4 linked regions of the Tamandua tetradactyla genome follow. The protein of the gene in region 4 purifies or fractionates together with the protein of the main gene of each other region. This does not show direct contact. Links are inferred from orthologs where the notes say so. Each region holds a gene or a part of one and is shown on either strand. Other genes may lie near its edges. The genes, in order: HAX1, IRS4, TXNDC9 and TUBA1A.

The links.
Region 1: the proteins of TUBA1A (region 4) and HAX1 purify together in Homo sapiens (affinity purification with mass spectrometry; 3 studies listed by BioGRID and IntAct, with this or other methods). This does not show direct contact. The link is inferred for Tamandua tetradactyla from reciprocal best matches to the Homo sapiens genes TUBA1A and HAX1.
Region 2: the proteins of TUBA1A (region 4) and IRS4 purify together in Homo sapiens (affinity purification with mass spectrometry; 3 studies listed by BioGRID and IntAct, with this or other methods). This does not show direct contact. The link is inferred for Tamandua tetradactyla from reciprocal best matches to the Homo sapiens genes TUBA1A and IRS4.
Region 3: the proteins of TUBA1A (region 4) and TXNDC9 purify together in Homo sapiens (affinity purification with mass spectrometry; 3 studies listed by BioGRID and IntAct, counting the BioPlex papers as one, with this or other methods). This does not show direct contact. The link is inferred for Tamandua tetradactyla from reciprocal best matches to the Homo sapiens genes TUBA1A and TXNDC9.

What each region holds. Positions count from the first base shown.
Region 1 is NC_135330.1:7,218,555-7,226,005, reverse strand, and holds HAX1 (HCLS1-associated protein X-1), read right to left. Parts: upstream 3,011-7,451; 5' UTR 2,899-3,010; coding exon 2,846-2,898; intron 2,324-2,845; coding exon 2,067-2,323; intron 1,896-2,066; coding exon 1,708-1,895; intron 1,228-1,707; coding exon 1,176-1,227; intron 1,031-1,175; coding exon 924-1,030; intron 799-923; coding exon 708-798; intron 560-707; coding exon 480-559; 3' UTR 307-479; downstream 1-306. Other genes in the region: UBAP2L (ubiquitin-associated protein 2-like), read right to left, coding at 4,886-4,981, 5,837-5,887, 6,303-6,500. UniProt on the Homo sapiens protein: Recruits the Arp2/3 complex to the cell cortex and regulates reorganization of the cortical actin cytoskeleton via its interaction with KCNC3 and the Arp2/3 complex. Slows down the rate of inactivation of KCNC3 channels. Promotes GNA13-mediated cell migration.
Region 2 is NC_135353.1:62,443,986-62,451,206, forward strand, and holds the start of IRS4 (insulin receptor substrate 4), read left to right. Parts: upstream 1-4,205; 5' UTR 4,206-4,210; coding exon 4,211-7,221. UniProt on the Homo sapiens protein: Acts as an interface between multiple growth factor receptors possessing tyrosine kinase activity, such as insulin receptor, IGF1R and FGFR1, and a complex network of intracellular signaling molecules containing SH2 domains.
Region 3 is NC_135343.1:4,925,726-4,933,181, forward strand, and holds the start of TXNDC9 (thioredoxin domain-containing protein 9), read right to left. Parts: upstream 3,019-7,456; 5' UTR 2,888-3,018; exon of another isoform or gene 2,870-2,887; intron 2,775-2,869; exon of another isoform or gene 2,663-2,774; intron 2,654-2,662; exon of another isoform or gene 2,347-2,653; intron 855-2,346; 5' UTR 822-854; coding exon 633-821; intron 1-632. Other genes in the region: EIF5B (eukaryotic translation initiation factor 5B), read left to right, coding at 4,027-4,061. UniProt on the Homo sapiens protein: Significantly diminishes the chaperonin TCP1 complex ATPase activity, thus negatively impacts protein folding, including that of actin or tubulin.
Region 4 is NC_135333.1:110,096,263-110,104,058, forward strand, and holds the start of TUBA1A (tubulin alpha-1A chain), read right to left. Parts: upstream 3,017-7,796; 5' UTR 2,872-3,016; coding exon 2,869-2,871; exon of another isoform or gene 2,699-2,868; intron 962-2,698; coding exon 739-961; intron 601-738; coding exon 452-600; intron 88-451; coding exon 1-87. UniProt on the Homo sapiens protein: Tubulin is the major constituent of microtubules, a cylinder consisting of laterally associated linear protofilaments composed of alpha- and beta-tubulin heterodimers.

The sequences.
Region 1 (7,451 bases), on a different chromosome or scaffold from region 4:
ATAATATTTGCCCTTATGTGTCATGTTTATTTCACTGCGCATGTTTTCAAGGTCCTTCCACGTTGCAGCATTTCTCAGAACTTCATTCTGTCCTACGGCAGAATAATAGTACAACGCAGTGTACATGTAACATTTTGTTTACTCATTGATGGACTAAAAACTTTTTAAAGGAGAAAAATATCTATTACTGTTTGTGCTCATTATATTTTTCTCTAACACACAATAAGGAGGTTGCAAGTCAAGATAATTTGGGAAGTCCTAGGTGTGCTAGAAAGTAAGACAACCTCCACAAAACAAAGCCAAGGATCTAGCACAAATAAAGGTTTTATTGGTCAGTCTGGGTGAGAAGTATACTGACATAACCCCAATTCACTGTTCCACAACCCCCAGCCCTCTGTATGGCAGGAGAAGCTCAGCCCATTATTGGTGAGCAACAGGTGGGATGTAGTAAGGAAAGAAGGCCTCTGAGGGTTACAAGGCTACCGGAACCGGAACCAACGTCCAAGGAATAAATCCAAGATGGAAGAAGCATCATCTAGGGCTGGAGGTCCTGGCAATTCTGGAAGAATACATACACACAGATAGGCTAAGTGAGCGAGTCCGTGCAGGGGCAACGGAGAGGAACACCATTAAAGGGCAGGAGAACAAGGGTTTCCCTTACCCGGGGAATTAAGAGATGAACCTCTTGATTCATGCACTTCACTTACCATATCTAGGACTGCCGTCTCCTTCTTGATGGGTTACTGTGGTCTTGGACCGGCCCTCACTGTCTACCACAGTCCGGCGCTCCTCCACTGTCTACAAGGAGTCCCCCAACACCCCTCATGTCACTAAAAGTGAGTTCAGTAGTTTCTTTACACAAATTCCTGTCTCCAGAGCATCCTCTGGACACAGTTTCCCTCTACCCCTCTCTCCCAACTCACCCCGTCTGGCTTAGTGATCTTGGTCACAGAGAAGCTCTTGAAGTATGATTTTGGCTGGGGTTGCAGAACTGGGCCAAGGCCCTCCTGGGAAACCTGCGAATCAAGATCTGAAAAAACAGAGATGAAGAAACAGGGGAAAAGAGTCCGAGGGAAAGAAGAGTAGAAGTACAGCAATAAGTTCAGAAGGGACAACAGAGAGAACTCTGAGACAACAAGAGAGGGCTGGTCAATGCCTCCTCCCTCCAGACTCACCATTGTCCTCTTTGGCTCTAGGATGTGGGGTCACAGGCCACATATTATCAAACTGTGGAAGAAGTCACAGTAGGTGAAAAGACACCTTTCTACCTAAAATTTGAAGGATCATGGCCCTAAACTACTCCAAAGTTCTAAAACCATCTTTCCCAGGAGAAAGAATTCCATTCAGGCTAGCTCGATTTACCCACCCCCCCTCCTTCCTAGCTTTCTTTTATGTAACCCTCTACCAAGAAGCTTTCCTGAACTGACACTTTCTGATCCTCCTCCCACAATCTTGCCTTATCCAGTAATTACCTGGACTGATTATTTAAAAAAAATTTTTTTTAAGAGACAGAACTTCCATTCCCTGCCCCCCCTCCACGAAAAAAAATTCTTATAAGAAATTCAATATACAAAACAGATAAGCACACTCAGTGGAGAGCCCAGAATTCCAACCCAAATCTATCAGTTTCCAACAAAGATTCCAGTCTTTGCACTCTACTTAAAGTCTTTCACAGGCTCTCACTTCAAGTCTAGATGTGGTACTCACCCTATGAAAAGGTCTCTGGAATCCCCAGTCTGGTGTTGATTTGGGGGATTCAGTTCCTGCGCCACTCTCCAAGACCCCCCCTAAAATCCTGGACTGGTGACTATCTGGATACTTAAGCATTGAGTCCCGAAGCGTCTCTCCCCCCTGCCATCTCTCACCATGGGTCTCTGACTCAGGACCTGGAAGTTCTGCAGAAAGGTGACAGATCAATGCTGGGCAGGTGAAAGGACGTGGGCTCTTTAAACTTCCTGAAGTTATCTTCTCACACTTCTCATCCCCCAGCTACTCCCTGAACGTTTCTTACATTGCCCACCAACCCACTAGAACCCATGAGTTCTCCCTTAGGAGTATTCACACACCAGGAGAGCGGGAAGGCAAGGTCCAGGCCCCCATTTCGCTGAAGATGCTATTGAAATCCCGTATTAGGTCATTAAAGCCGAAGTTATCATGGAAACGTATTCCTCCTCCTGGGCTGAAGCCAAAGCCAAATTCCTCAGGGGGATGGGGAACCCCAAACCTGGAGCTTCCATGGCTCCAAGTGTCTCCTCCTTCTTCCTCTTCCTCATCATCCTCATCTTCATCTCGGGTCATCCCGCCAAAAAAGGGATCTCTGTGGCTGGGGGTGGAGGTAGATTGGCCAGCAAGATTTTAGTATCATCAAGTGTTTAGCCTTTAATCAACTCATGGGTGGCAAAGTAGGGCAAGAAGGATCTGGTAGGTTGGGGAGAGGGCTGGCTGTCAAACCAAAACATGACAGCTGACAGTTTTTGTTTTTTAGTTTTTATCAAAGTCAGTCCTCAATCTCGCGGCTCTCCCCAAGCCCTCACTGCCTTTTCTCCAGTGTTCCCCAGACCCTCCCCTCTCTCCCAAGGTCCTGCTCACTGGCTCCTTGTCTTTACTTCTAGACCTCCACTGTCTTCCCCGCTCGGACCCCTGTTGCATCACCCCAGGTTGGAAAAAGAAGTGCTGTTTCTTCTCCTCTTAACGACCGCCTTGATTACTGTCGTGGGGTGAGTGCTGTATGCTGCGACTTTCGTCCTCTCAGCAGGAATGGGAAGAGGGTTTTTCCAAAAGGTTGGGTGTTAGGAGTCAAGCTCGCCTCAGAAGAATCCCCTTATCCGACCCGACCCACTCTCACCTCCGAGGTCCAGAAAATCCGAAAATGCCCCGGAACAGGTCAAAGACACTCATTCCCGCTTAAGAATACAAGCCTTGAACACCCGCCGGCAGCTCATTACACCGGGATCCAGCCGCACTACGCTACCGGAAAGCGAGTCAGACCAGGCTGCCAGAAAGCAAACCTGTGGCCCGGGCATGTTGTCGTAAAAGGGCGATAAAGGACGTAAAACGACGTGGACGAGAAGGCGGGGCGGACAGCCGATCCTCCTCAATCTCAAAAGGCTTTCCCTTGATCATCTTTCACAGACAAGTTTGAAGGTAGTGGACATATTTTCCCCCCAATTATCCAATTCCGGAATTATCCTATTTCGAATTTTTATTTTCCAATTATCATCTCCCTTCTAAGCTGTATCTTCTTTCCGCTTACCAGCCCAGTCCAAAAAGATGCTTCGAGAGTTTGATTGGATTTTATTTGGATAAAGCCGCCAGAGGGCAGCGCAAACGCCCAAATTGAACCTATGTGCGCATGTCCCTCACCCCTGGCTCACCACATCCAGAAGCCACCTCAGTCCTTCAACCTATTTTTTTACTGACCTGGGTTGTCTAATATAGTGGGTAGATAAAAGGTTTTATCAAGCCCCTTCTCGCATCGAATTACCCACAATTAAATAGATAAAAGGCATAAGGATACATAGATTTATAATTTCTCAATTCCACCAACCACCAGGGAATGTTATAAAATATTAATTTTCTGAAATAGGCTCCGAAGCCAGCAGAATACAGGATTCGTAAAAGAACACTGGAAGGAAAGGTAGTGAAGGAGTAAAGAAAGAATTTGAGGTTTTAAGTATTCTCTTTTTCATATCATAGACTACTTTCAGAGCCTGTCTTCATCCCTCACTCCAACCTCCACCCCCTGCCTTGTTCTGGGTTCCTTTTCAGGGGACTGGGTATAGCTATGCAACACCAAAGCACTCAAGAAGGAAGAATTACTATGTTCTTCCCTTAACGGTAATGGACCCAAAGCTTAAGTTCTGAAAGCCAACAGTACATGTTACCCTCACTTCTTTCAGTTTGCTTGGACCCCTGCATATTTTGACCCCACAAAGTCATTCCTTTGAAACAGTCTCAGCTCCTCCTTACGTCTTTCCCTCATCACCCAATCTCCTCTATTCCTCTCCCTCACTGCTTGAAATCTGTTGTAGATGTATCAGTTTCTGGAGGGAATGAAAAGTTGTGGTGCTTCTTTCCAGGCACCAGGCTGTAAGACTCTTAAGGATTAAAGGAAGGGAACCCCGCAAGGGCAAGACACTAGCACATTAAGGTCAGAGAAGGGCGAAGATTTCATTTTATTCCACTGCCTTTGAGGGCCTGCTAGAGAAGGCCGAGTTGGTACAGTAACACTTATTCACCAAGCTGGTCATCGACGAGACTGAGGATATCCTAGACGGAGCAAGAATGGGCAGAGGCTGAAGGTAGAGGTTTTCTTTTTATATATACAAGACACATTAATCCATTAAATTTGAGGACACAGTACAAAAAAAAAAACAAAAAAAAAAAAAACAAAAAAAAACACTTCAACGAATTCATCTGACAATGCTGTTCATATTCATGACGCCGTTTTTTTTTTGTTGTTGTTGTTTTGTTTTCCTAATAATAAAGGAGGAGACTTAGGGCTGTTGGGCTGATATATATTTGGGGGTCCCACCTCCCCATCTCACCCACACACCACCAGGGTGAACAGGAGGAGGAGAAGGAAGGGCAGGGCCCACAGCAGAGTTTCATAATCTTGAATGCATGGGGTAGTGGGGAAGAGGAGGAAGAGGAAAGGAAGGAGAAAAAAAAAAAAAAGGAAAAAATACAAATCCTATAATACATACAACAGGGTGGGGATGGTATGGGAATGGGACAGACATGAAGCTGAGGCATGGGGAGCTCCGCTGGGGGTGGGGGGCAGCAGAATCCCCCAACATTCCTTTTTCTCTTTGATGCTGTTTCCATAGTTGCCAGGCTGAGAAGCCCTCTCAGAAGATGGGGCCAGGAGAAGAGGGTCAGGGCCTCAGTTGGCCCCCCAGCTGTAGCTGTTGTAGGCAGACTTGTTGGTCTGGGGCTTCTGCGGGATGGAGCTGGTCTGGCTACGTTGCCCGCTGCCCGTCTGCAGGGGAATGGGAGGATCATGGGGAGGAAAAAGGTGTCTAGTTAGTGGGACAAGTCTGTGAGATCTTCACATGGAGATGTGGAAGTTGTCTTACGCTCCCATTCCCCTTGCTTAGAGGCTACTCTGAAGCCCAACCATGGAAAGTTCTGATCCTCCGAGTGGTTAGATCCCCTCTCTGACCAGCACAAAGGCACTTTCAGCCTTTAAATAGTGAAAAGATGAAAAGAGGGCAAGATACCTTTGGAAATGAGATGGTGAATCAGTTCTACTTATTTTCAATACCACCTCCCTCATCCCATCAGCCGCCCCTGCTCTGGGAAAAGGCTACTCTTTTCTACAGAGAATTACAGCCTCTCGGAGATGAATGATCACTAGTTGATTTCATTTACACTGATCTCCTCCATGAATGCCTCTATTTGGAAAGCTGTCTATGGAGGCAAGAAAGCCCCTAATCTAGCTCCTCAATCACCTACAATGGAGGAGAGGTCTTTTACACCATCCCACAGCTCCCCATCCCTACCATAAGTCACATCTGTGAGCCCTTCCCTTTTCAGGCAAGGTAGGAAAGAGAGTCTGAAGTCTCAGGGCTCTAGATGCTGACCCAAGAATCCTTTCCATTCCAGTAATCAAGTGTATACCAGAACTGGATCAGGGTGTAGAAGAAAAAGAGGGTGCTGAGGGAGGAAAGGAAAGAGGAAGGGGAGGCCAGAGAGCTCAGCAAGGTGTTTGTGTTTGTGTATCCCGATTTGTGACCGCGCAATCTCTTTTCTCTTCAAGTTCCCTGAGGTTGCAAAGATGAAATGGGGACTGAAAGGGAGTGGGTTCAAGCATATTATCATTCAGTTTCATTACCTGCTCCTCCTGCTGGCGCTGGCAACAGAGAATCATCTGCAAATATGGTAGCTGAGGCAGAACCAGGATATATGGAAAATAAAGGGACAAACTTTGACAATAGAACTCTACCATTAGAAGGGAAAGCTATAATGTTGGGGCAAGGGGGAAGGCTGGGAGAGGTAGGAGGGGAGGTGTGACCCAGGTCTGATGGGATGAGGACAATTGTGCCATGGGAGGAGGTAGAGAAAGGCACCAATGGAACTGAACAAAAAAGGTTTCAATCTGGCCCCTTCTCTGACATCTCCTTTGCCGGCCGCTTGTGTTATGTGCGCTTGAGTCTGTATGTGCTGTGTGCCCATGGCTGGCGCTGGGGAGGGACTGGGTGAAGGTGGTGGTGAGGAAGGGTAAGAGAAGGAAAGGGGAGGCAGTTTTAAGGGATAGGAAGGAAAAGGAAGGGAAAGGAGTAAGGGGGAAGGGTTATTACCTGGCCATCCTGCTGCAGGTGATGGTGAAGGATCTGGGAGTGTGGCTGCTGATGGGGGGTCAGAATGTGCATAAAGGGGGCAGGTGGGTAGGCAGCAGCTGTGGCCGGGTTGATGGGCCCCCCACTTCCTAGGGCTGAAGGCAAGTTGAAGGAGGCAGCAGGAGTACCGGAATGAAAACCTTGTTTCTCAAAGGACTGCTATCCAGGAGAATGGAGGAGAGAGAGTAAAAGGGATCAGCAAATTTATGCTTGGAATCTCTAAGCCCAAGCTCCCCAACCCCAAGAAAGCAGCATTCATGTTATACAAGGAACAATGCATCTGAAATCAAAGTCCCAGCTCTGCCCTTAATAGCAGCATGATTCCTGGGCAAATTACTCAATTTCGCAAAACATAAAATGAGGATGCTATTGGTCTACTAAAGTTTTGGTTGTAAGGTTCAAATGAGGATGGAAGTAAAAACATTTCTCAAAATCTAATGCTCTATATGAACATAATGAAATGTACTGACTGCTTTTAACAACTCCACCTCTGCAGTTGGGTAAAATTAGAATTCCTGTTAATATTTCAAAATGAGTACAAACTGAGGTGTTTTAAGTATTGAGGGTCTTGGCCATGAAGCTCTCCCCTAAACCCCTATTACTTTATATCAATCTTTTAATATTTATGATGATGGGGAATAAAAAGCAATACAAATAAGACCACCTGTGGATAACTCTAATGCCTCGTTCTTTAATTACTGAGTTGTCTTCTTCCCCACTCTTTAGTTTTATTATTTACTCACAAAGAATGGGATGAAATAGTTTCCTTTCATTCCATACTCATTCTCTCAGAAAGTTATGAGAAGGGTTGGGAGAATAGGAAAGTAAAGGAAAGGGCAAGAACAGTTGCAGACCCTCGCCGTTCAGCATACAAAAAAAAATTAAAAATTAAAAACTTTAATTAAATCTAAATATAATTTAAATATAAAAATATTAAAAACCTATTTACAATTTCATCCCAACCAAAAGGGGGAAAAGAAGTGTAACTAATAAAGTATCAGTGGCAGAGAGCAGCTACTCTGGAGGTTGCTCTTACGCAAGCTTCAGTTAGACACTGCTACCTATCATAACCTGCCAACCCCCAACCAGGACCATTCCAGCCAATCCTAA
Region 2 (7,221 bases), on a different chromosome or scaffold from region 4:
TTTCTTCAATAAATGGTATCTGTTTTAAAGATATTGCGGCTGTTTAAAATATTACATTAGTTTCTAGGTGTAAAATACCAGCGGTAATGGTTGAGGGTTTTTTTCCCCTCAACTAACATGGGAAACTAAGAAACACTGTAGGTTTTATTACCACTTATCTGTTGCTTTAAAAATTTGCATTTCAGACCATAGGCTCAGAGACCAAACTTTATAGAAGTTATAATTGGATATGTAAAACTACTTTAGTGCTAGGATAACTTGTCTTAAAAATAAAAATAAAAAATTAAGAGACAGATATCTATAACCAAAGTAGAGGAACTATCTGCTGAGGTCAAGCCAAATACAGTCAGCATATTTTGCCTGAACTGTCTAGATTTTGCCTATGGAAACCTGAACTAAACTAAAAATTATTTTATACCATTAAGGTGTCCAGGAATATGAATGTTTAAATATACATCAGATAAGCTGTATCATCTGGTGCAATTCAGTAATGATGGTCTCCTCCAGAGAGTTTCAGTGTTGGAACAACTTTTATAACTGAGGTTTGGTTGAACTCTGTGAAGGAAATTATGTTCTTCTGGCCAGATGCTCTCCCTGCTCACAAGTACTCAGATCCTCTCACATTCTGGAAAACATATAAAGTAAAATCCCTCAATGAAACATCTCACTATACCTCTAATTCCATTGAGGTACAAAGTGATCGGCACTGCTAATCTTTTGTTGTATTAAAATATATATATATTCTAGCAGTTAACGTCATACTTCTTTTTTAATGCACTGATTCACACTACTTGTTTCCCCCTAGTGTAGAGAATGTCCTATAAAATACTGTTTAAGTGTGCTACATAAAATTTACCTAGTTTGAATGCCCCCTTATAAATTGTTGATACAAGAGAACTAAGTTAGTTCTCTCTCTAAAAGGGCATATAAGCTTAAATATATGGAAATCATAGAAGAAATTTAGAAGTATCTTGGTGACATTTGCTTATATCAACAGTTCCTTTTTAATTTGCGCTACAAACCTCATTGTGGTTTACACATCTTTCAAAACAGAGGGAAAATCAGGCTTAAATGTGGTATTTTTCACCAAGAGACTGGGAAAAACTTGCAACAAATATGATGAAGCTTTAATATCTTTATTATGTAAACAAATCATACATATTAATAAGAAACTAAAATTCAATAGATAAAGCAAAGGACATAAAAAGACAGCTTATAGAACACAGAATATTGTCTGCAAATTTATATGAAAACGTTCATCTACCTAGTTAAAAAAAAAACAATTTAAAAGAACAATGGTGTAGCATTTCACCCATCTTATCTATGAGTTTTTTTTAGAAAAATAAGCTTGTCCAGTGCTGGCAATGGGTATTGTGACATGGTAAACTGATACAATATTTTAGAAAAATAATTCATCAAATGTTCATACCTTTTAACAAAGGAATTACACACCTCAATTTCTGCCCCAAGGAGTAATTCTAAGTGCATGCACTTGCAAAAAATTGTAAGTAGAAGAACTTCACTGAATCATTATTTATAACATTGAAAAAAAAGAAAACCTAAATACCTCAAAGTAGAGGGATGCTTAAGTACATTAATTCACATTCGCTATAAGGAATGTTATGATACATTTTGAATGATTTTTAGGCTGAGCCATAATAGGTGGAAATGTTATGATAAGTGAAAACAGAATATAAAATTATATATATTGGAAGCCTACCACTATACATAAAAACTCTATATGCACAGAAATGAATAGGATATGAAGATTTTTAAATCTCTATTTTCAGGATTTTCCAAATTTTATGTAACATGCATTGTAAATATTTTTCAACATATTTTTAAATGCCATGTTTTTACTTGAAGTACGTTCTTTTCTTTTCCACATTTCTATCTAAAATAAAATCCTGTGCTCAGAAGGACTTATAATACACATTAATACCTACCATAAAAATCCCAAATGATTTTATTCATTATCTTTTGGTTATAAATGCAGGGAACATTCTATGTATGTGAGTAGGCAACTGAAACATGCAGGTAGCAGCCCCAGGCAGTGCACTCAGCATCCACACCCTTCAGCTTTCATCCCCTGCACCTATGAATATACTGTGGGGATAAATTGGTGGCAGCAGAGGGAATGTTAATGTTTTTTTCTAATTTAAATATAATATTTCGGGGACAATCAAAACCAATTGTTTTTTTCTCAAATGGGAACAATAAAAAGGAACCTTTCTTTTGGGGTATAAACTATACTGTTAGAGTGGAATTTACAGCATTCAATATTTATGTTCTAAAATAAGAAAAGATAAAAAATGACATCGTAAAGTTTCAAAAAAAAGAAAAAGAAAAAGGAGCAATTTTTCCAAATACATTTGCTTTAACAGCAAATTCTTAAGGGAGCAGGGATGGGGTATACTTTTGTGATGCACACATTGCCTAGTTTACTGTTAAATTTTACAAATAATACCCTTTGCAGCATCTACCCTACGGCAAGGGTGAACTGATATTCCATTTCTTTAGAATACGATATACCATATGTCTCCGTTCCTCCCTCAAACCTCCCTTTCAAATGCGGTCATTCCTTTGACACTTCAATGTAATCTTGACCCATCTCCGCCCAAAGGAAGCTGAAATCACAGCAAGACAAACTGAGAAACAGACAGAAAACTTGAGGAGGCTGCACTTACACTCCAGTTGTTTTTCCAGAAATAAGGGAGGAAGTAGTGCTTTTTTTGTGGTCTCAGATTGTAGACTGAAATTCTCTTCTTGACGCGAAGAATATGAAATATATTCTAGGATACGTATTCGGTTTGGCCCTTTGTTCTAGGTAGGAGCTTTTCTTTTTCTAAAGTTTCTTCGGGCTCTCTCAAGGAAAGGGCAACTTAATGTCTTGAGATTCTTTTAAAGGAGACTTTCAAAACATCTCCCACGGGGAAATAATCACGACAGCGCAAGATTGGTGAATTTCAGTAAAAATCGAGTCCGATTTTTTTCAACATGGCTGTATACTTCTCAGGTCCCCAAATTTGTGCCTTCATAGCCATCATTAATCAAAAAGTCAGAAACACCATCGTTTGCGAACCTGCGTTTCATGGGCTAGAAATGTGCTCTGAGAAGAAAAATATGCTCATTTTGAAGGCATCTCTGTTTTTTGAGTGCATTAGAGTCGCGCAGGCTTTTGTCACGGATGGAGCGGGTTTGGGAGCGCAGGCAGCCTGGTGGGCGGCAGGTCTGAGGGCCGGAGTCATTAACACATTTGCAGGGGGTACCGACACGCTCTCTCAGCACACTCGGCCAGCCGCGCGTGGAGGGTGGGAGTGGACCAGACCGTGACAGAAACAGAAACTTTATGTGAGCTGCACAGAGACAAAGAGGACGCCGGGCTCGGTCCACCGGTTACCGCAGCTAGCTCTAGGATGTGCGGTTTTATCACTACCATTAGCAGCTACTTGTGAAGGGCTGTTTACCGCCTGAGCGGAGCCCACGCTAGAACCCAAGTCACACCCACTCACCCCTCAACTCCCCTCCCGCCCCCTGAACTAATGAATTCAGGGCCGCCTTCTTCCAGACCCTCCCATTGGTTCTCATCCTAACCAATCGGAGCCCTGCAACAGTTACACCTGGCTCCTGCTTCCCAAATAAACAAACAAACCTTCCCGCGACCGCGCTAGTTCAGCTCCATGGCGCCGCCAGCAGCGCTCGCGCTTAGCCCCTACCGCCGCCTAATGCCCCCTCCAGCCAATCGCGCCCCGTCGGCGGCTCCCCTACCGGGACGCTACAGCTGCTCACGGCTCTCTCATCCTCCCGTCCCTCGACCCTCTCCCGCCCCCTGGTGCCTTCGTGACCTTCTCTTTACGACCAGCGTGTTCTGAGAGTTTTACCTACTCCCGTCGGTCCTTCCGCGCCCGCCGGCCCGGAGATTCACCTAAAGCGCCCTGGCCTGGCTGGAGGCAGCCCCGCCGCTCCCTCCCTCTCACACCTCCACAGACAGGGTAGCGCCCCTCCACAAGGCGGGTGGCACGAGCCGCAGCTGCCGCCGCGTGAGGCCGTGGTCACGTGTTGTTTTGCCCGCCTCAGCGCTCTAGGAGTGCAGTGGGCGGGGGCGCAGCGGAGTAGGGAGGGGGCTGGGGCAGGCGAACGGGGGAGTCGGCCTCTTCTCCAAGCCCCCGCCACCTCCCCCTCGCTCACCTTAAAACCGTCGTGCATCACCATGGCGAGTTGCTTCTTTGCTCGCTACCAAGCAACTAGGAGTCTGAGAGCTGCAGCAGCGGCAGAAGCAGCAGCTCTAGCAGAGGTGGCGACCACCCTGCTTCTTTCCTCAGAAATCCCGACCGCACTCATTGGGACCGGGCCGTCTTGTCCGGGAGCCATGTGGCTCTCCTTAGCCACTGGTTCCCGATCAGATTCGGAGTCTGAGGAGGACGACCTCCCCGTCGGGAACGAAATCTGCAAGCGCGGCTACCTGCGGAAGCAGAAGCATGGACATAGGCGCTACTTCGTGCTCAGACTCGAGACCGCTGATGCCCCAGCAAGGCTGGAATACTACGAAAATGCCAGGAAGTTCCGGCACAGTGTCCGCGTAGCGGCCGCCGCAGCAGCGGCGGCCGCCTCAGGCGCCGCGGTCCCCGCGCTCATCCCTCCACGGCGCGTGATCATCCTGTACCAGTGCTTCTCGGTGAGCCAGCGAGCCGACGCAAGGTATCGACATCTCATTGCCCTTTTCACCCAGGACGAATACTTCGCTATGGTCGCTGAGAACGAGTCGGAGCAGGAGAGCTGGTACTTGCTGCTCAGCCGCCTCATCCTAGAGAGCAAGCTCCGCCGCTGCGGCACACCCGGCGCACAGCCGGACCGAGAGCCTTCAGTGCCGGCGGCGGCGGCAGCGACGGCGGAGCTACCCTTCTACAAAGATGTGTGGCAGGTAGTAGTAAAACCCAGGGGGCTGGGGCATAGAAAAGAGCTGAGCGGCGTGTTCCGGCTATGCCTTACCGACGAGGAGGTAGTGTTTGTAAGGCTGAACACCGAAGTGGCCAGTGTGGTCGTCCAGCTCCTAAGCATCCGTCGCTGCGGACACTCGGAACAGTATTTCTTCTTGGAAATTGGTAGATCCACCGTCATCGGTCCGGGGGAGCTCTGGATGCAGGTAGATGACTGTGTGGTGGCCCAAAACATGCACGAACTGTTTTTGGAGAAGATGAGAGCCTTGTGTGCAGATGAATACAGAGCCCGCTGCCGCAGCTACAGCATCAACTTTGGCACCCACCTGTTAACACTGCTGTCCGCTAGGAGGCACCTGGACTTGCGTCCATTCGAGTCCGGTGGCTGGCTCAGAAGGTCCCGCTTTGAAGAGTTTTCCCACGTTGGGGCCATTGGTGACGGGGAAGACGAGATGCTCCTCACCAGGCCCTTCATATCAACCAACGAGCCTGTGCACCCCTCGAGGCGAGGAAGACTGCACCTGCCCAGAGTGCGCAGGTCCAGGAGAGCTATTTCATTGCCAGCCAACTGTTTACGCCACTTAGTACCCAGCCAGGTGCGTGTGGCGAATCCTGCAGAAACCCTGAATAACGGATCTTGCCTGATTTCTGAAGCACCTGGCTCTGGCAACTGTGGGGAGAAGGGCAGTTCTCAGGGCAAGGAAGATCAGCAAGGACGTGCAGGGGACTATATGCCCATGAACAGTTGGGGCTCAGGAAATGGCCAGGGCTCCAGTAGCCAGAGCTCAGGAGGAAACCAGTGTTCCAGCAGGGGGCAGAGGGCCAGAGGGGGCCAGAGCTCAAGTGGCAGCCAGGGTTCAAGTAGCCAGGGCGCCAGAGGAAACCAATGCTCAGGAGATGGTCAGGGCACCGCAGGTGGCTATGGCTCAGGCAGTAGTCAGGGAGCTGGAGGTGGCCATGGCTCAGGTAGTGGCCAAGGGCCTGGAGGTGGCCGTGGCTCAGGTGGTGGTAAGGGCTCTGGAGAGTGCAAGGGATCAGGAAATGGGAAAGGTTCAGATGGCAATAGTGAACGTGGAAAGTCTCTGAAGAAAAGATCCTACTTTGGCAAATTAACTCAAAGCAAGCAACAGCAAATGTTACCACCTCCACCACCCCCAACACCTGGGGCAGCTGTTGGAAAAGGGAAGTCTGGGGGAAGGTTCCGATTTTATTTTTGTGCCGACAGAGGAGCCACGAAAGAACGCAAAGAAGTCAGAGAGGTGGAGACACCAGAAGGTGCAGCTCGTTGTCCTCACAGAGCCAGCACGTTTGAAGAAGATGAGGATGACCCCTATGTGCTAATGAGGCCAGGGGTTGCTGCCCCTCTCGCAAGCTCCAGTGATTATATGCCAATGGCTCCTCGAAATGTCTGTGCTTCAAAAAAGTGCCACTCTCGATCACCTTTTGAAGATTCCAGAGGGTACATGATGATGTTTCCCAGAGTGAGTCTACCACCTGCCCCAAGCCCTCCAAAAGCACCTGATCCTAATAAAGAAGATGAATCGAAGGACAACGACAGTGACAGTGACTACATGTTTATGGCTCCTGGAGCTGGTGCAATTCCAAAAAACCCTCGAAATCCTCAAGGTGGCTCTTCCTCCAAAAGTTGGAGCTCCTACTTCTCCCTGCCAAATCCTTTTCAGAGTTCTCCCTTGGGACAGAGTGAGTACAGTGATTATGTACCAATGTCACCTGGAAAATTCCTGGGAAGGGGCCTAGACAAAGAAGCCTCACCTAATGGGGGGCCCAAAGGTGCACATTCAGAGCCTTCAGTTGAGGGGTCGTTCCCAAAGCCAGGAAATGGGGGGGCACCTTCAAAACCTTCAGATGATGTGCCCCCAAAGAACAAGGCTAAGAGACCTAACAGACTTACTTTCATTATGAAAGGAAATAAAATCAAGCCCAAACCCCAAAAGCCTATACTTGAGCAGAGAGAAGCAGACAGCTCTAGTGACTATGTCAACATTGACTTCACTATAAATTACAACAATATTGCAGGTCCCACTACTCAAGGACCGCCAGATTCGTGGGGTAGAATTGCTAACACCAGACAGTCAGCCTTTTCTAATTATGTGAATGTACAATTTGGAGTGCCATTTCCAAATCCAGTAAACGACCTCTCATATCTTTTAAGAGTTATTCCAGGTGCCAACCCCCAATTTCTGGACGGTGCTAGGTGGCCACTTCCTCCTCTTCCTCCCAGTGCTTCAGGGAGCAATGCTAATGAGGCAGAGGGTGACTATAT
Region 3 (7,456 bases), on a different chromosome or scaffold from region 4:
TTTTAAAAAAAAGTATTTCTTTTAATAATAGGGTAGTATATGGGAACCCCGTATTTTGTGCATATTTTTTCTGTAAGCATACAACTATGAGTCTGTTCTATACACTCTAGGAGAACAACAGGGATAGAGCTGTGGCTATTTTTCTTGGTGCCCAGCATGCATTCCCTTGAATAAAGAGATCACATATAAATGTTACACTGGAAATGTTTGAAATAATTTCTTCAACATGAATTGCCCCATAGCTCTTATCTCATGCACCATTCCTACACTGAAGCTAGCTAAATTATGACAGACATTAGTTCTACCTGAAATGGAAACTGCCGACTCCTAGTGTTCTCAGTGCTCTTCCTGATTTACTCTCTCCTCAACCAAACAAATCTGAGCTCAGAAAATGATCTTGGGTAGGAAACTTCTCTTTCACTCAACTGTGGTTTAATAAATTGACTAGATTAATTTTTGAATGTGTCTTTAGAACTTTTTTCTTTTTTTTAGCAAATTTTTAATAGCAGTAGGTACTTTCAATTCAAAGACCCTAAAAAAGAGGACCGAATTTAACTGCTGCAGCACATGTATATATAATTTTTAGGAGCATACTGTTATAGCAATTTCAGAAAGCAGGGCAGAGAGGTTACTTGTTTTTGCTGTTGAGCTTTCCTTAGTGCTTCAAGTCTCTTTTCTTTGAGGCGTTCCAATTCATCCTCATCCATCTGATCCAGTTTCTGAATTTCAGAATCCAGATGTTCTTCCACTAGTTTGGTAGTCTGAAGCAACTGATTCTCCAGGACTTTTGAAAGCATGCCAACAGATGCATCGCCTTCCATTCTTCTTCTAAATGGTACAATTCAGCCCTGGGGCTGGGAAGATTTACAAAATTAGAAAAAAATAATATAAATACACAAAGTCTTCTCTCCCATTCTCAAAAATTCTAGCAAGCATATATATACTTGTACTGCAGAGTATTCTGCTGACACCCATACACATCAGGTTAAACTTAAGAATTTTAAATTAAAATTTTTAATACGTTACAGTCATATAATCAAAAAACTACTTATAGCAAAATTTAGGATCTTCTGACTTAATTTGTGTTTTGCTATACTAAAGCAAATACAAGGGTGGGCCATGGCAGGTCAGTGGCAGAGTTCTCGTTCCTGGTGCCTACCCATGGCAAAAAAAAAGGCAAATGCTAGTATTCAAGACAATCACCAGACCAGAGAGAAATTAATAGCTGGAATTATAGCTAGTGGTATTTACTGACAATCAGTTTTCCTTACCAAAGGAAAAGGAAAGTAAAGCAGAAATCACTGTGAAATAACATATTTGTACTGAGGTTTACACATTCCCAGGCATACCAATTTGATTCAACACAGCACAGAGTCGAGCAAAATGGAGAGTTTTTTATGGTCTCTACCCAAACGAATTTAGTTTCTTTACCTCCTAGAAGATCTCATTACAATGCGTGTTATTTCCATTTCTATTTTCCCCTTACCTAACACAATCTATGAGGCCGCAAAAACTGATAGAGGTATTGATTTACTGACACTCAGTGTTCTTAACTTTGATGTAAAACAATACAGCACTACAGATATTAAAAAAAACTGATTTTCCATTGTTAGTCCTCTGGGTAAAATAGTAAAAAAATTTGTCTGCTTCCAACAATTAATTCAGATTAGAAAGGAAGATCTCAAATATTTTAAGAGAAATGTTATTTTCTACCAGTAACAATGTTATTTAGTTGAATTCCTGGGCTAACTGCCATGAAGATAGGTTTTACAATTTGCCTATCAAAGCAGGAGTTCGTGCAAACTGATACATTTGTAAACTTGATTGAAGCACCATAAAAAATGTGAATAAACCGAACTCACTCAACCTCTGACAGAGAGCCTGGCCTACAGAGACGCCTTAAATTTTGTTAAACTGAAGAGAAATACTGTCCTTGCAAACTTTACTTGTAATTTTCTTTTTCCTTACAGGAAAAGCAGATGAAAAATACACTTGAATTCATCTCTGTATCCCCAGAGCTACTTGTACAGGGCCTGGAACATAGTAGATGCTCAATAACTATTTAATGTTGAATGGACAAGTGCCTAGCTTCTGCTCAAACTGTCACAAATATCAAGTTAGAAAACCAATTTGAAAGCGTCCCATAAATGCTATAAAATTGAAAAGGAGCTGTTTCAAATACAAGAAAAGAATTCCACTCACACACACACACACACACACACACACACACACACACACACACACTTCCGAAGAAAACCGTCAGTCACACTGCAACGCTGGAGCTGATCTAGATGAGCCAGAAGATTGTATGAAGGCGCTGATTTGCACATCAGAACCTGTTCTTACTCGGGGCATGGCGCACACTCATCCCTGGAGTTTCACAGGATGAGCCCAGAATTTAATTCTGGGATAACTAGGAACAGAGACGATTAACAAGAGCTGTTCTGGAGGCAGGTGGCGGTGGTCGCCGCACTCAGAAAGAGGAGGTCAAAGGAGACGGCGTAGCGGTCGCGTTAACTTCATTCTTCACCAACCTCCGCTTCTTCCCTTTTTTACGCTCAAAAGGAGGAGGGTGGGAAGCAACACCGCGAGTCTTCCAATGACCTAACCATTTCCTTGACTCCCGTGGGTACCTCCAAAACAACAAAGGGGCCTCACTCACAAATGCACGCCAGGCCCCACGGGCCGGACCCAGGCACAGCCCTCAGCACTTCAACTGTGCCCCGGCGCACGCGCCAAAACCTCCGCGGCCGCCCCGATCCCCGCGTCCGGCCGCGCCCCTCCCCCGCGCCGGCCGGATGTTGGACGGTGATGCGTCCGTCAGCGTCGGGACGCGGTGGCGGGTTTCCCACGCCACTCCCCGCCTCACCTGAGCTCTCGGTAATACCTGAGGCGGGACGGAGCAGCCGCTTCGGAAAAGGGTCCCTGCCGGGATTCACCCTCGCACACCGAGGGGGTGGCTGCAAGCCGGCCGGCGCCCCCTCCTCCTCATTGGCTGTAGCCCTCTCGCGATACATCCTGAAACGCCCGAGGCGGCAGAGCGGGCGGAGAGCGCCTTTGCGCATGCGCGCCCTTCCCAGCCTGTTTGCTGCTTTTCGCCTGGGTCCAAGGAAAGGCGTGCTGACGAGGCTGTCTGCTGTGCGCCCCGTAGCCGCCGGGTCCCCAACCCTGAGTGTCCGACCTCACGCCCTGCCCAAGTACTCATTATAGCACTACGTCAGAAATGAGGTAGTCTCGATCTTGCTCAAGAGTGAGCCTCAAAGTTCGTTTCCATTCAGTTTATTGAACAGTGGAGGCATCACTTAGGTGGCGCAATATGACTTGCACCTACATAACCCTGTGGTACAGCAGCCCAGATCGGGTCACGGAACGTTCCTTCGTGACTTCCCTACCACGAGAACTTGCTTTGCATATAAAGATCGAAACCTTTCTCGGGGTAAATTGGTGGGCACGTCCTCGCCTCATGATTTCTTTAGTGACTGCGTATTTCCTAACCAATGGGCATTGGAAGCGGCCCCGATTTTGGGCTGGAATTTCGTATCCCTCGGGAACATCCAGAGCCCATTCTCGGCTCCTTCGAGGAGGGTGAAAGGTGGAAGAGAAGCCCGAAGTCCTCCTCTGAACCGAGTGCTAAATCCCGGTGGCTTTTCCCGAGGAGCGAGGGCTGACGCGGGACTGACAGCCTCATTATCCGGCCCGCGGTTCTAGAACCCGAGGCATCGACGGGCAGGGGGCGCGCGGACTCCCGGCGGTCCGGCGGCCAACTGGAGACGCTCTACCCCGAGCGCCACTCTCGATGAGCCGCGCGCTGCGTCCCCACGCCGAAGCGGCGGGGCGACGCGCATGCGCATTGGGCACTCACACCATATGTGCCCTGTCCCAGTGCGCGGGTCTGTGGAGAGCCGGGTGCGAGGGGCGGCAGCTTCGCGGGGACGAAGCTGAGTGGACACCAGAGTCGGCCGGGGCGCAGTGGGTCCGCGAGAAACCGGATAAAGGGGGCAAGGCCACGAGCGTCGCTGACACGCGATGGGGAAGAAGCAGAAAAACAAGAGTGAAGACAGGTAGCCACTGTCTGGGTCGGTACGGCGGCGGCCCCCGCGGCTGACTGGGACTCGCGAGTCCCGCCGGAGGTGGGGGTGGGGGCTGGGTGCGGGCGTGGGACTCGCGGCGAGACTCTCGTGGGGCGTCGGGCCTGGGCCCAGCGTGGGCGGCGCGGGTCCCGGACGGGCGCGGAGGGCCTCGACGGCGGGCTGGTCTTCCCCGCCCGGTCTCTGCCCCACCTGCCCTCGCCCGGCCTGGGGAGAGGGGTCCCCAGCAGGCGCCGCTTGGCCTTCGGAAAGGGGCAGTCGTTTGGGGGTTCCCAGCCGCGCGGGGAGGGTCTCGGGCGACCGGGCCAACCTGGCTCGGGCGGGCGGGAGTTACTTTTGCGGAGCTGCTTCTGGAAAGGATGTGAGCTCCTTCCTTCTCCACAGCGCGGGCCGGGAAGAATTCTGGTTAAGCCTTTGTACCTGTGAATACTTGGATGGGAAGGGACTCCCAAGCTGTTATATGTGCCTCCGAGTTTTTCGGCACTGTGAGTTGTCAAGAATGTCGGCGTTAGAGAGGCGTTTATCAGCCTACTCTTTCTTAACTTCATCTAATTTGGGTATAGTTATCAATTATCTCAGGGCTGATTGTCCAAACTCCGTGCTTTTCGCTTTCCTTCTTCCGGCCTGTCTTTTGGTCGTTTCTTTGCTCTCTAGCACCTCCCCTAAGAGAGGAGGAGTAGATGAACTAGACCAACCAGGGTCGTTCCTTTCTAACCACATGAAGGCTTTTTTGGAGGAGGGAGTGTAAGGGGAGTACGTAGAATTACTTAACCAGGAGAATCTTAAAACATCTATGTCACATTCGACTGAGTCCTTGAACCCTTTTCTTTGAAAGAGTTTACTTCGTGGGAATGAACAACATCTGGTACTTTTCCCCTTTGTACCCTATCTATCAAACAGTTCAGATACAAGAGGGAGAGAAGGTAAAAGAAAATAATCCCAATAGTTGATCATTCTGACTCAAAATAGATATGTGGCATGAAGCTCAGATAAGTACTAATTATAAGTTGGAGTTCTAGATTGTTTCTTCACTTGGCACTCATCTAGCTAATGAGTGGAATTAAAGACACTAAAGTGAATTTTGTAACTCAGTTATAGATTTATTGGAGAAAATTAATTTGGTTTGGAGAATAGACTTATTGATAATCAAACCTGATGAATAAGAAACAGTAGCCAGAAACACAGTTTCTGTAGTTTTGATGCGGTTTTTTTTTGACGCATAAGATTGTTTTTCCCTTACTGAGAGATATTTTCAAATAAACACACAAAAATGTACATATTACCCAACTTCAAGCATTGTTAGTACATAACCAACCTTGTTTCATATACCTGCTGGGTATTTTGCAGTTCTCAGTATCTTTTCATCTGTAGATTTTTCAGGTGTATCTGAAAGATAAAGTAAAGTTAAAAAAAACATGAAACAAAGTCAGTCTCATCAAGCCTTAGGATTACAAACATGATTTCTTAAATATCGTCAAATATTTATTCAATAATTTCCCACAATTTTGTGTGTGTATGTGTGTGTGTATAAATATATATATATATTATTATTATTTTTGCATGGGCAGGCACTGGGAATTGAACCTGGGTCTCTGGTGTGGCAGGTGAGAACTCTGTGTGTGTATGTATTTTAATTGGTTTGGATCAGGATTACAGAAGTTAGTGGCATAAAAAGTGCATATATGTTATTCTACTTTCCAGAATTTTTTTATTTATTATGCCTTTTCATAGTGGAAAAAAGATGTTATTCTTGTTTGTATATTTTTAGAGAAAAGGTAGTGTTTCTTAATGATTCGTTGGTTTTCATAGGTGGTGTAAATCTTTTTTTAACTTTTTTTTTGTATTAACATATATACAAAGTAAAGAAAGAAAAAGCAGTAGTTTTCAAAGTACTCTTCAACAAGTAGTTACAGGACAGATCACAGAGTTTGTCACGTGCTACCATACCTTCATCTCGGATTTTTGCTTCTAGCTGCTCCAGAACATTGGAGGCTAGAAGGAATAAATACTTTCTTATCATCACAATTGGCTTTTTTTTTTCTTGTTCGTGAAAAATGACATATATACAAAATAGCAATAAATTTCAAAGCACAGAGCAATAATTAGTTGTAGAACACATTTCACAGTTTGGTATGGGTTGCCTTTCCACAATTTTAGGTTTTTACTTTTAACTGTTCTAAGATATTGAAGACTAAAGAAATACCGATATAATGATTCAGCAGTCTGCTCGTTTATTAAACCCTACTTCTCTTTATAACTCCACCATTCCCTTTGATCTTTGTCACTCTTTAGGGATATTTGGGCTATGCCCATTCTACCTTTTTCATGGTGTAAAGTTTTAATTGCAGGCACTGTAGCCGGTATCAAGTGGTTGATTTGATAGTGGAGAAGGAATACTACTTCCCCCTTCATCCGCAGCACACATGCTAATCTCTAGTCTTTATTTTTTTGGCTCATGTTGAAGGGAAAGTAGTGGCAATGTAATTGAAAAACATACATATTTTTTCATATGCCAATATGAAGATTGTATTTTTCTCCCCTCCCTTCCCTTCCCAGAATTCTTTGCTTCCTTTTCCTTTCCAGAATTCTTTGCTTGAGTGGCTTTCAAATTGTATCTAAGAAATTGTAGGATTTTGCAGAGGGGCCCCTTTGACCAGAACGGCTTGGCTTTTTTATTTTGGCACTCTACGGAAAATATTTTGGGGAGATGGGGAGAAAGTTCCACTGTTTTCCAAATCAGTTTGCTTTTACTTCGTGTAGTTAAATGATATTTGTAAAAGAAACAAGAATGCAACATGGAAAACAAGTTTAGAAGGAGAAAGTCCTATTTTAGGATTTATCTTGCTTGCATGAAATGGGATGTTCTATCTGGTTTTACTATCTTTCATGAAGATCCTCACTTTAAAGGTTTTACTGTCATTCTTAGTTGCCTTCTCTCATGTGATCCTATGCCAACTGTTTCTGGTCAGGTTGAACTGTGTGTGAAATGAACGGCTGCTTATTAGTTATCAAGATAAAGCATTGAGGGCGGGCCATGGTGGCTCAGCAGGCAAGAATGCTTGCCTGCCATGCCAGAGGACCTGGGTTCGATTCCCGGTACCTGCCCAGGTAAAGAAAAAAAACAAGAGAGAGATAAAGCTTTGAGCCACATCTCAGTTTTTGGAAAGAAAATAAAGTACTCAGCTGTTCTTAATCCTATAGCCTTGTATTTAAAAAAAATTTTTTTTATTGAGATATCTTCATATGCTGTATAGTTCATCCAAAGTGTACAATCAATGGTATAGCCTTGTATTTAATTAATCCTTTTATTAAATTTCTTGGCCATACAGTGTTCATTTAAAATTAGATTTTATTATTAAATCTGAGTA
Region 4 (7,796 bases):
CATCAGCAGGGAGGTGAACCCAGAACCGGTTCCCCCACCAAAGCTATGGAAAACCAAGAAGCCCTGAAGACCTGTGCACTGGTCAGCCTGTTAGAAAAGAGAAGAATAGGGAAAAGATAGTTATTGTTCTTTGTGATACACGCACAGTAAATGTATTTTCATTCTTCATACATCTCCAAGTATATAGATATTACTTTGACAATAAACATTTTTTAAATGTAGAAATTAAAATTACTCAGGAAATTACTCAGGATTTATTAATTTAAAAAATCTTCATTAATATTTTTAAAATGATACCATATCATTCATGTTTTAACTGGGTTTTTTAAAAAACCTAAAGGAATAATTCATCTCTTTATTATATTTCAATGTTGTGTTTGAAAAAAACATTTATTTCAGATGTCTTCCTTAGGTTCATTACTTTACTGTATTCTTGAGAAGAAACACATACCAGTTTGCGAATTCTGTCCAGAACCAGGTCAATGATCTCCTTGCCAATGGTGTAGTGCCCGCGGGCATAGTTATTGGCAGCATCTTCCTTGCCTGTGATGAGCTGCTCAGGGTGGAAGAGCTGGCGGTAGGTGCCAGTGCGGACTTCATCTGGAAAAGGAAAGCAAAGCGCAACCCATCATTAACAACCTGCACAAGCCTACTTAACCCTGGGGCATAAATGGAGCGTCCAGGACAGACCTGTCCCAGACCCCTGCAATCTCACTCAGGTTACTGACTTCCACTCACCAATGACTGTGGGTTCCAGATCTACAAACACTGCCCTGGGCACATGCTTGCCGGCGCCTGTCTCACTGAAGAAGGTGTTGAAGGAGTCATCTCCTCCGCCAATGGTCTTGTCACTTGGCATCTGGCCATCGGGCTGGATGCCGTGTTCCAGGCAGTAGAGCTCCCAGCAGGCATTGCCAATCTGGACACCAGCCTGGCCGACATGGATGGAGATGCACTCACGCTGTGCAAAGGGAAAAAGAAAAAAATGTGAAGTTAAGCTGTATTAGCATTTTGAATTTTCAGTATACAGGTATTCTTCAAAAAGTTTTGAGGTCTTATCCCTAACATAACAGAAATAAGTAAGAAAAAGCACCTGCTACAACTGCGGCAGATGGGTGTGGTCCAAATGATAATGTGCCTGTTTAGCACATGGTACAAACCCATTGTTCCCACAGTCATGCTTGAGTAAAGATTTTTCTTATTTAAAAATACACGAAGTATAGACTTAGTAAAATGAAGTAAATTAAATTAAATGCTAAATTAACTGGAATTCACTGCTTCCTTCCCCTTCTAATAAAGATTAGGGTTTTGCCTAAATGAGACTTGATGTCTAACATTGACATCTGCACTGCAGCTGGGGCTAACTGCCACACCCATCTGCAGTCTATCTGCAGAATTCATGGATACTAGGAGATGAGAAGCTAAACAAAGTCTCCTGGCATTGCTGCATTGCTGCATTTGCTGTGCTGGTGCTAACTTGTACTGTCTGCTACATTATTTAACAGAGCAAGCTCTATTTTCAGCAACCGCCTACATGATCTCATTGTGCTGTTTTGCCAGTTTTCCTTCTCTGACCCAGCCTGGGACCAATGTGCCCGAATTGAAATGAATTAATGAAAAGGCACTAGAACAAAAGACATCTGGATTCAGAGTATAATCCAGTCTTCTTTGTCTGCAGAAATTTAGTTACTTAAAAAAATGCTTTTTCCAGAATCTTCTCCAGTTTAAAAAACCTGAAAAATTATGTTTAAAACAGCAGTTCCTAAATTGGAAACAAGTAACACAAGAGAAGCTACCAAACAAAGGATAAAAACCCAGTGAGACGATAATGAAATATTTATTTAAAACAACAAAATATTTTAATTCTGAGATTCTCTACCCACTACAGAATATTTCATACTCATCACATTCCGTAGATTTTCTTCTCTATGTCTTTAAGACAACTTTCATTGTCTATTCATTGTCTAGTATGGGGGTGGGGGTGGGGAAGGGCGTTTCCCTGAGTTCTGGCCTTATAGTGCCCTGGCTCACAAAGTGCCTTTCTCCCTCGGTGAACGTAGCCCAGAAGGACGGACGCACGCAGACACACAGACACACACACGTCGGCATCCCCAGACCAGACACTTAAGGTCTTGTCAAAAGTGAACTGTGATTTTGCTTTTTAAGAAAAATATATTTCATCTAAGTTTTAACAGTGAATGAAAAACCTTTTAACGCCTACAGTTTCGCAATGATTAAAAGTTTTTGTTAGAAGTCTTCTCCTTTTACGAGGGCGAACCCCGCCCAGTGGCTGCAACGCTAGAGAAGCAAGAAACAAACAACTCCGCCCCTGCGCCACGCTTACGCCGCCGGCGGTGGGATCCAACAGAAACTAACAATTTTATCCCGTTACTATTCGGGGGTCTGCCTAGTATACCAACGAATCCGCGAGAGACCTTTTTGCATTAATTGAAAATTTTGCTTTTCAGACAACTCCCCTCCCTGTTCCTGGAATACGAAGCGACAAAGAAAAGAGCACATTCACCGACATACAAGCAGGCGACGCCACGATCGCCTTTTTCCGGCCCCAGACCTTTTCATCTTCGACAGAAGGCCTCGGCATTTCGCCCGTTTGCGGTACTGTAGGGCTCGGGTGACAAAAGCTCCCTCCCCGTCGCCTTTGTTCCCCCCCCCCCCCCATCCTTCTCTGCGCTGTGGGCGCAGTTCTTGCTTGGCTCCCCCACCGGCACTGCGACAGCCAGCCTTAGAGCTAAACCTCTTAAACAAAGCAAAGAGATTGCGAAGGAAAATAGTTTAAGGTTTTCCGAGTAGAATGGAGATCTGATCTTACCAAACTGCCGCAGAGGGCCGGAGAAAATAGATACTTACCATGGTTACTCCTTGGCGGCTGCAGAACAGATGGCGGAGACGAGGAGGAGAGGTTGTTGCTTCTTACAGCGCGACTCTTAGGCGGTCGATGTAAGAGAACCTACGGCACATGGGCGAATGCGGCTCCCTATATACAACTCGGTCACCATGGGAATGGACCGGGGCCTTTTCCTGTTGGTCCAGACCCCTCAGTCTGCCCAGAGAAGCCACAACAAGAGAGTGGTGATTGGTGCAAGCGACATGGGATGAGGTAATCTCTCCCCCACCCGTTTCCCCCCAGCATCCATAGACTGTTTGCATCCTTCAGACAAAGAGACCAAGGAAAAGGAGTCAACCGTGTATCCATGATGGGGTGGGGTCGGGGGGAAATGGGAGGAAAGAGGAGTGGGGTTGAATGATTTTATATTTCACAGTCAAGCTACAGTTAAAATCAACCATATAGAGGTTTTTTTTTTCCTACACTTAATCACAGAATGTGAGATGAAATATTTAATGGAAAATTAATCCCAATCTCTCCTTGATAGTATACTAAGATCGACTATATTCAACGAAGATTCAATATCCCTAATTGCTTTTAAAAGGAAGGAGGAGAATATGGGAATACAGTGTTTTTGTGCATGATTTTTTTGGTAAACCTACAAGTTCCCTAATCAAAGTTTTTGTTTTTGTTTTTTTTAAAAAAATTAAGTAGGAGAGAGGATGGGAGTGATGCTTAAAATGGCTTCAGTAAACTGGGTTTTTTTTTTTTCATTTTAAAAATATTCAGTAATAGAGCCATTCCAAATGGTTTCTTGGGTGAAAGTATTTTATTTTCAAACCTTCGTTTCCACCCCTTCCCCCATAGCTGAACAAAAATGAAGGAGGAAAGAATGACCATACTAACAAGGCAGCGCACAATAGTGTTAACTTGGCAGTATTTGGAATTTAACATAAATAGTGAAATAATCTACTGGAAATAGTCTTTTACCAGAAATCTATGTAATGTTTTTTGTGTGGCATATTGTCCCTAGAAATGAATCATTGTCCTGATATAGAATTGAAAAAATACAAGGAGAAAGAATTGAGTTCAGAAGCTAAACTACCTGTGTGTGTGGTTATATTTCTGCATTGTTCTCTTTTTTGGAACGTAATAAGCAAAAATAATAACTGAGACACCAAATTAAAAAGAGGAGATATGTAACGTAAAGAGAAGACCATCTTGAAGTGTTACCTCCATTCACTGTTTTGTAATGTCAGCTCAACAACTGCATTTCTTTTTTATGTAGTTCTTATGTGAGTTCAATAAATACCCTCTTCTGCATTTGGCTTCTAACTGTGGGAATTGCAATCAGTCTCACACGGTTGCTATTCAACCAGAAGCTCTGGTTGTTGCTCAGTTGCCCACTGGGGACAAAAAAGGCTTTGCATTCGCCCCCCACGAAATGGATTACAGTAACATTCTTTTGCTATTTAGAAAGTTTCCATTATCAACAAGGATGGGCAGTGCAGAGTAAGTCTCTGGCCTGAGTACCAACCTGACTTGGCTGATGAAATTTCATAATTTAAGAGGTTATTTTTTGCCACTAAAGTTGGAAAACTGTATTTAGGCAGATAATGTTTCCTTTAGGTAACAGATTTTCAAGGTCTGCAGCATCATTTACAGTGCTGTGCAGAACACATTCATTCCTGCCTGTCTGGTAGGCAGAGCAGGTTATAGGAGGGAGGGCCTAGAGGAGACAGCTGCTGCAGGTTGTGGTGTGTCAGTGGCGGCCATGAATTTTCCCAACCTACCATCTACAGCTCTGTTTTACTTGTTCTAGTCGTCTCTTAAAAACAAAAACAAAAACAAAAAAACCCAGCACACAAGTCATTTTATCTACTTTTTACATATTTCATAGGAAAATGTTGCTCAACATAATTTTATCTCTATCCCGTTAGCAAATAAAAGTATATTTCAATAAAGAGAAAGGATTAAGGATGGCTTGAATCCCATATGCTTCTTTCTGAACCCAGAATTACATTTAACCACCAAAAATAAGAATTAAATGGTAGAGGGGAGCATAAAGACTTATAAGTTACGCATTTCTTTCAAAATCTAAATGATGAAAGATATAAGACAGGGCGAGACTATGGTAAAATGAATAAGTTTCCTTTTGGAATGAGAGGCACAGCCTTGAATTTTATTTTCTTTACAATAGAAAAGGTTAAGAAATATATCATTTCTGCATTAGTCTCAGTTCTTTATACGGTTTACGGAAGATTGAATAAAAGAGAGGAGGTTCCTGCAGCTGATTCTTTGTAATTCTATCTCAGAGCCATTCTGTGTCTTATGTAAATGAGGTGTTTTTTTTTCTCTTGGGCATAAGTAACAATAAGATATAGGTCAGAAATACACTATTTGACAACTGGTAATCTATTAAATATAAAAATGCAACAGCATGGGGAAGTAATTAATTTGTTCTTTTTGTTCCTCATTATCTGACTTAATAGCACGCAAAAAGTATGTTTTTTATTAGTTCACGTCTTATTTTTACTGCCAGTTCCTGACATCAGTTTACGTGTAAAAGTAATCTGTTATAGATTTGTTCCTGTACATAGTAAGATTAGTATAAAATATTGCTCTTTTGAGGTATTTGTGGAATTTTGTTTTATTTATTTGCATGTCTGTACCTTTCCTCCATTAAAATGTGAGTCCTAGTCCCTAGGAAAGTGTCTAGCATAAGTAGACATTAATTACATATTCTTTGAATTAAATAATTAAATGGACAGCTTCTCTCTGTGCATATTTCATTTACTATTATCGTGGTGAATAATTTAAAGGTCTTAATAGAGTATGTTACATTTTATATTCAACACCTATTTATGAGAATCTACAGTGAGCACCAGTGTGGGGAATTCAGAAGTAGTTGCATAGACATTTTTCCCTAGAAAAATGGAAAAAAATTTTCCAGTCGAGTTGAAGAAGTAAGACATGTACATGTGTATTGGCTTGAGACTGACATGCTTTTGTATGTGTAGGGTGATGGAACATTTGTAGACTCCATTGCAAGGTCCCATATATCATAACTTATGTAGGAAACAAGAGAGTTGTCTAACACATTTTCTTCTATTTCTTCACCTCCTGTTCATACCTAAATCCATTCCCACCTGAATTCTGCTCCAATTTCCCCTTGAAACCAAATGTCCTCCACTTTTGTTGTTAAATCCGCTGCACAAATTTTTGTTCTTGTTGACTTCTGATAAACTTTGCTTCTATTAACTATTTTCTCTTTCTTGAGACATTTTCTTCCTTTCATCTGCGTTTTCCTGGTTTCCCTCCTACATCTTTGGCTGTCTTTACTGGTACCACCTCCTTTTTCTAAACTTTAAATGTTGACATTTCTAAATGTTCAACTCTAGCCTTTTCTTCATTTTATTCCATGTTCCATAGATGATCCCATACATTCCTAGAATAAACACATTCACTCTCAAGGTATCAAATGCTTTTTTTATGTTGATGATTTCTCAGCATCTCTTCTTAGCTCCAGATCATATAGTAAACTTCCAACCTCTAGCTTGATATTTCACAGATATCTTAAACTAAACTAGTGGTCTTCTTCCCAAACAGGCACTTCTTACAAGGTTCTCTTGCTCAGTAAATGGAGCAGCATACACCCCATCTCTCAAAAATAGAAACCTGAGAATTATTCTTGACCCCTCCATCTCTTTTTATGAATACCACAGAATCTGTCATTAAGCCCTGTCAAGTCTATCTATTAAATAACTCTCAAATTGTATTCTTTTCTCTCTGCCTTTATTGCTTCCATTTAGTGCATCCTTTCTTGCCTGGATAACCTCAGTAAACTCCTAGAAGATTTTCTGCACATTCACCTCTCACTTCTAGACCCCCCACCCACCAGCAGCCACAGTGATCTTATTAAAGTACATATTTGATCATGTCACTTCAGTAACCTCCTAGAAGATTTTCTGCACATTCACCTCTCACTTCTAGACCCCCCACCCACCAGCAGCCACAGTGATCTTATTAAAGTACATATTTGATCATGTCACTTCACTGCTTAAAGCAGTGCAATGGCTGTGGATTAGTTAGTTTTTTTTTTTTTTTTAACTTTTTTTATTGTATAGTATATAACATATACACAAAGCAAAGAAATAAAACAGCAATAGTTTTCAAAGCACTCTTCAAAAAAGTGGTTACAGGATTGATCCCAGAGTCTGTCATGGGCTACCATATGATACTCTCATATTTTTCCTTCTAGCTGCTCCAGAATATAGGAGGCTAGCGGGCTTAAATACTTTTTTATCATCACAATCGACATTTTTTTTCCTTCTTTTTTTGTGAACAATAACATATATACAAAAAAGCTATAAATTTCCAGGCACAACAGCACAATTAGTTGTAGAACATATTTCAGACGTTGACATCTGGAGTTTGTAGGTTTCTAGCAAGTTACTCTAATGCCTGGAACCCTTGTGGAATCTTATATATTGCCCTAGGTGTTCTTTAGGATTGGCTGGAATGGTCCTGGTTGGGGGTTGGCAGATTATGACAGGTGGCAAGGTCTACCTGAAGTTTGCATAAGAGCAACCTACAGAGTAGTCTCTCGACTCTATTTGAACTCTCTGCCACTGGTACTTGATTAATTACACTTCTTTCCCCCCTTTTGGTCAGGATGGAATTGTTAATCCCACGGTGCCAGGTTGTGATTCATAAATACTGTATGGGGAAAATTTGGGGAGAATTGATATCTTAACTATATTTAGCCTTCCTATCCATGAGCAGGGAATGTCTTTCCACCTATTTAGATTAGCAATTTCTTCTTTGACCCACTGGTTATTTAAGAGTGTGTTATTTAATCGCCATATATTTGTGAATGTTCTCATTCTTTTGTGGTTTTTGAGATCCAGTTTCATCCCATTGTTATCAGAGAAAGTGCTTTGAATAATTT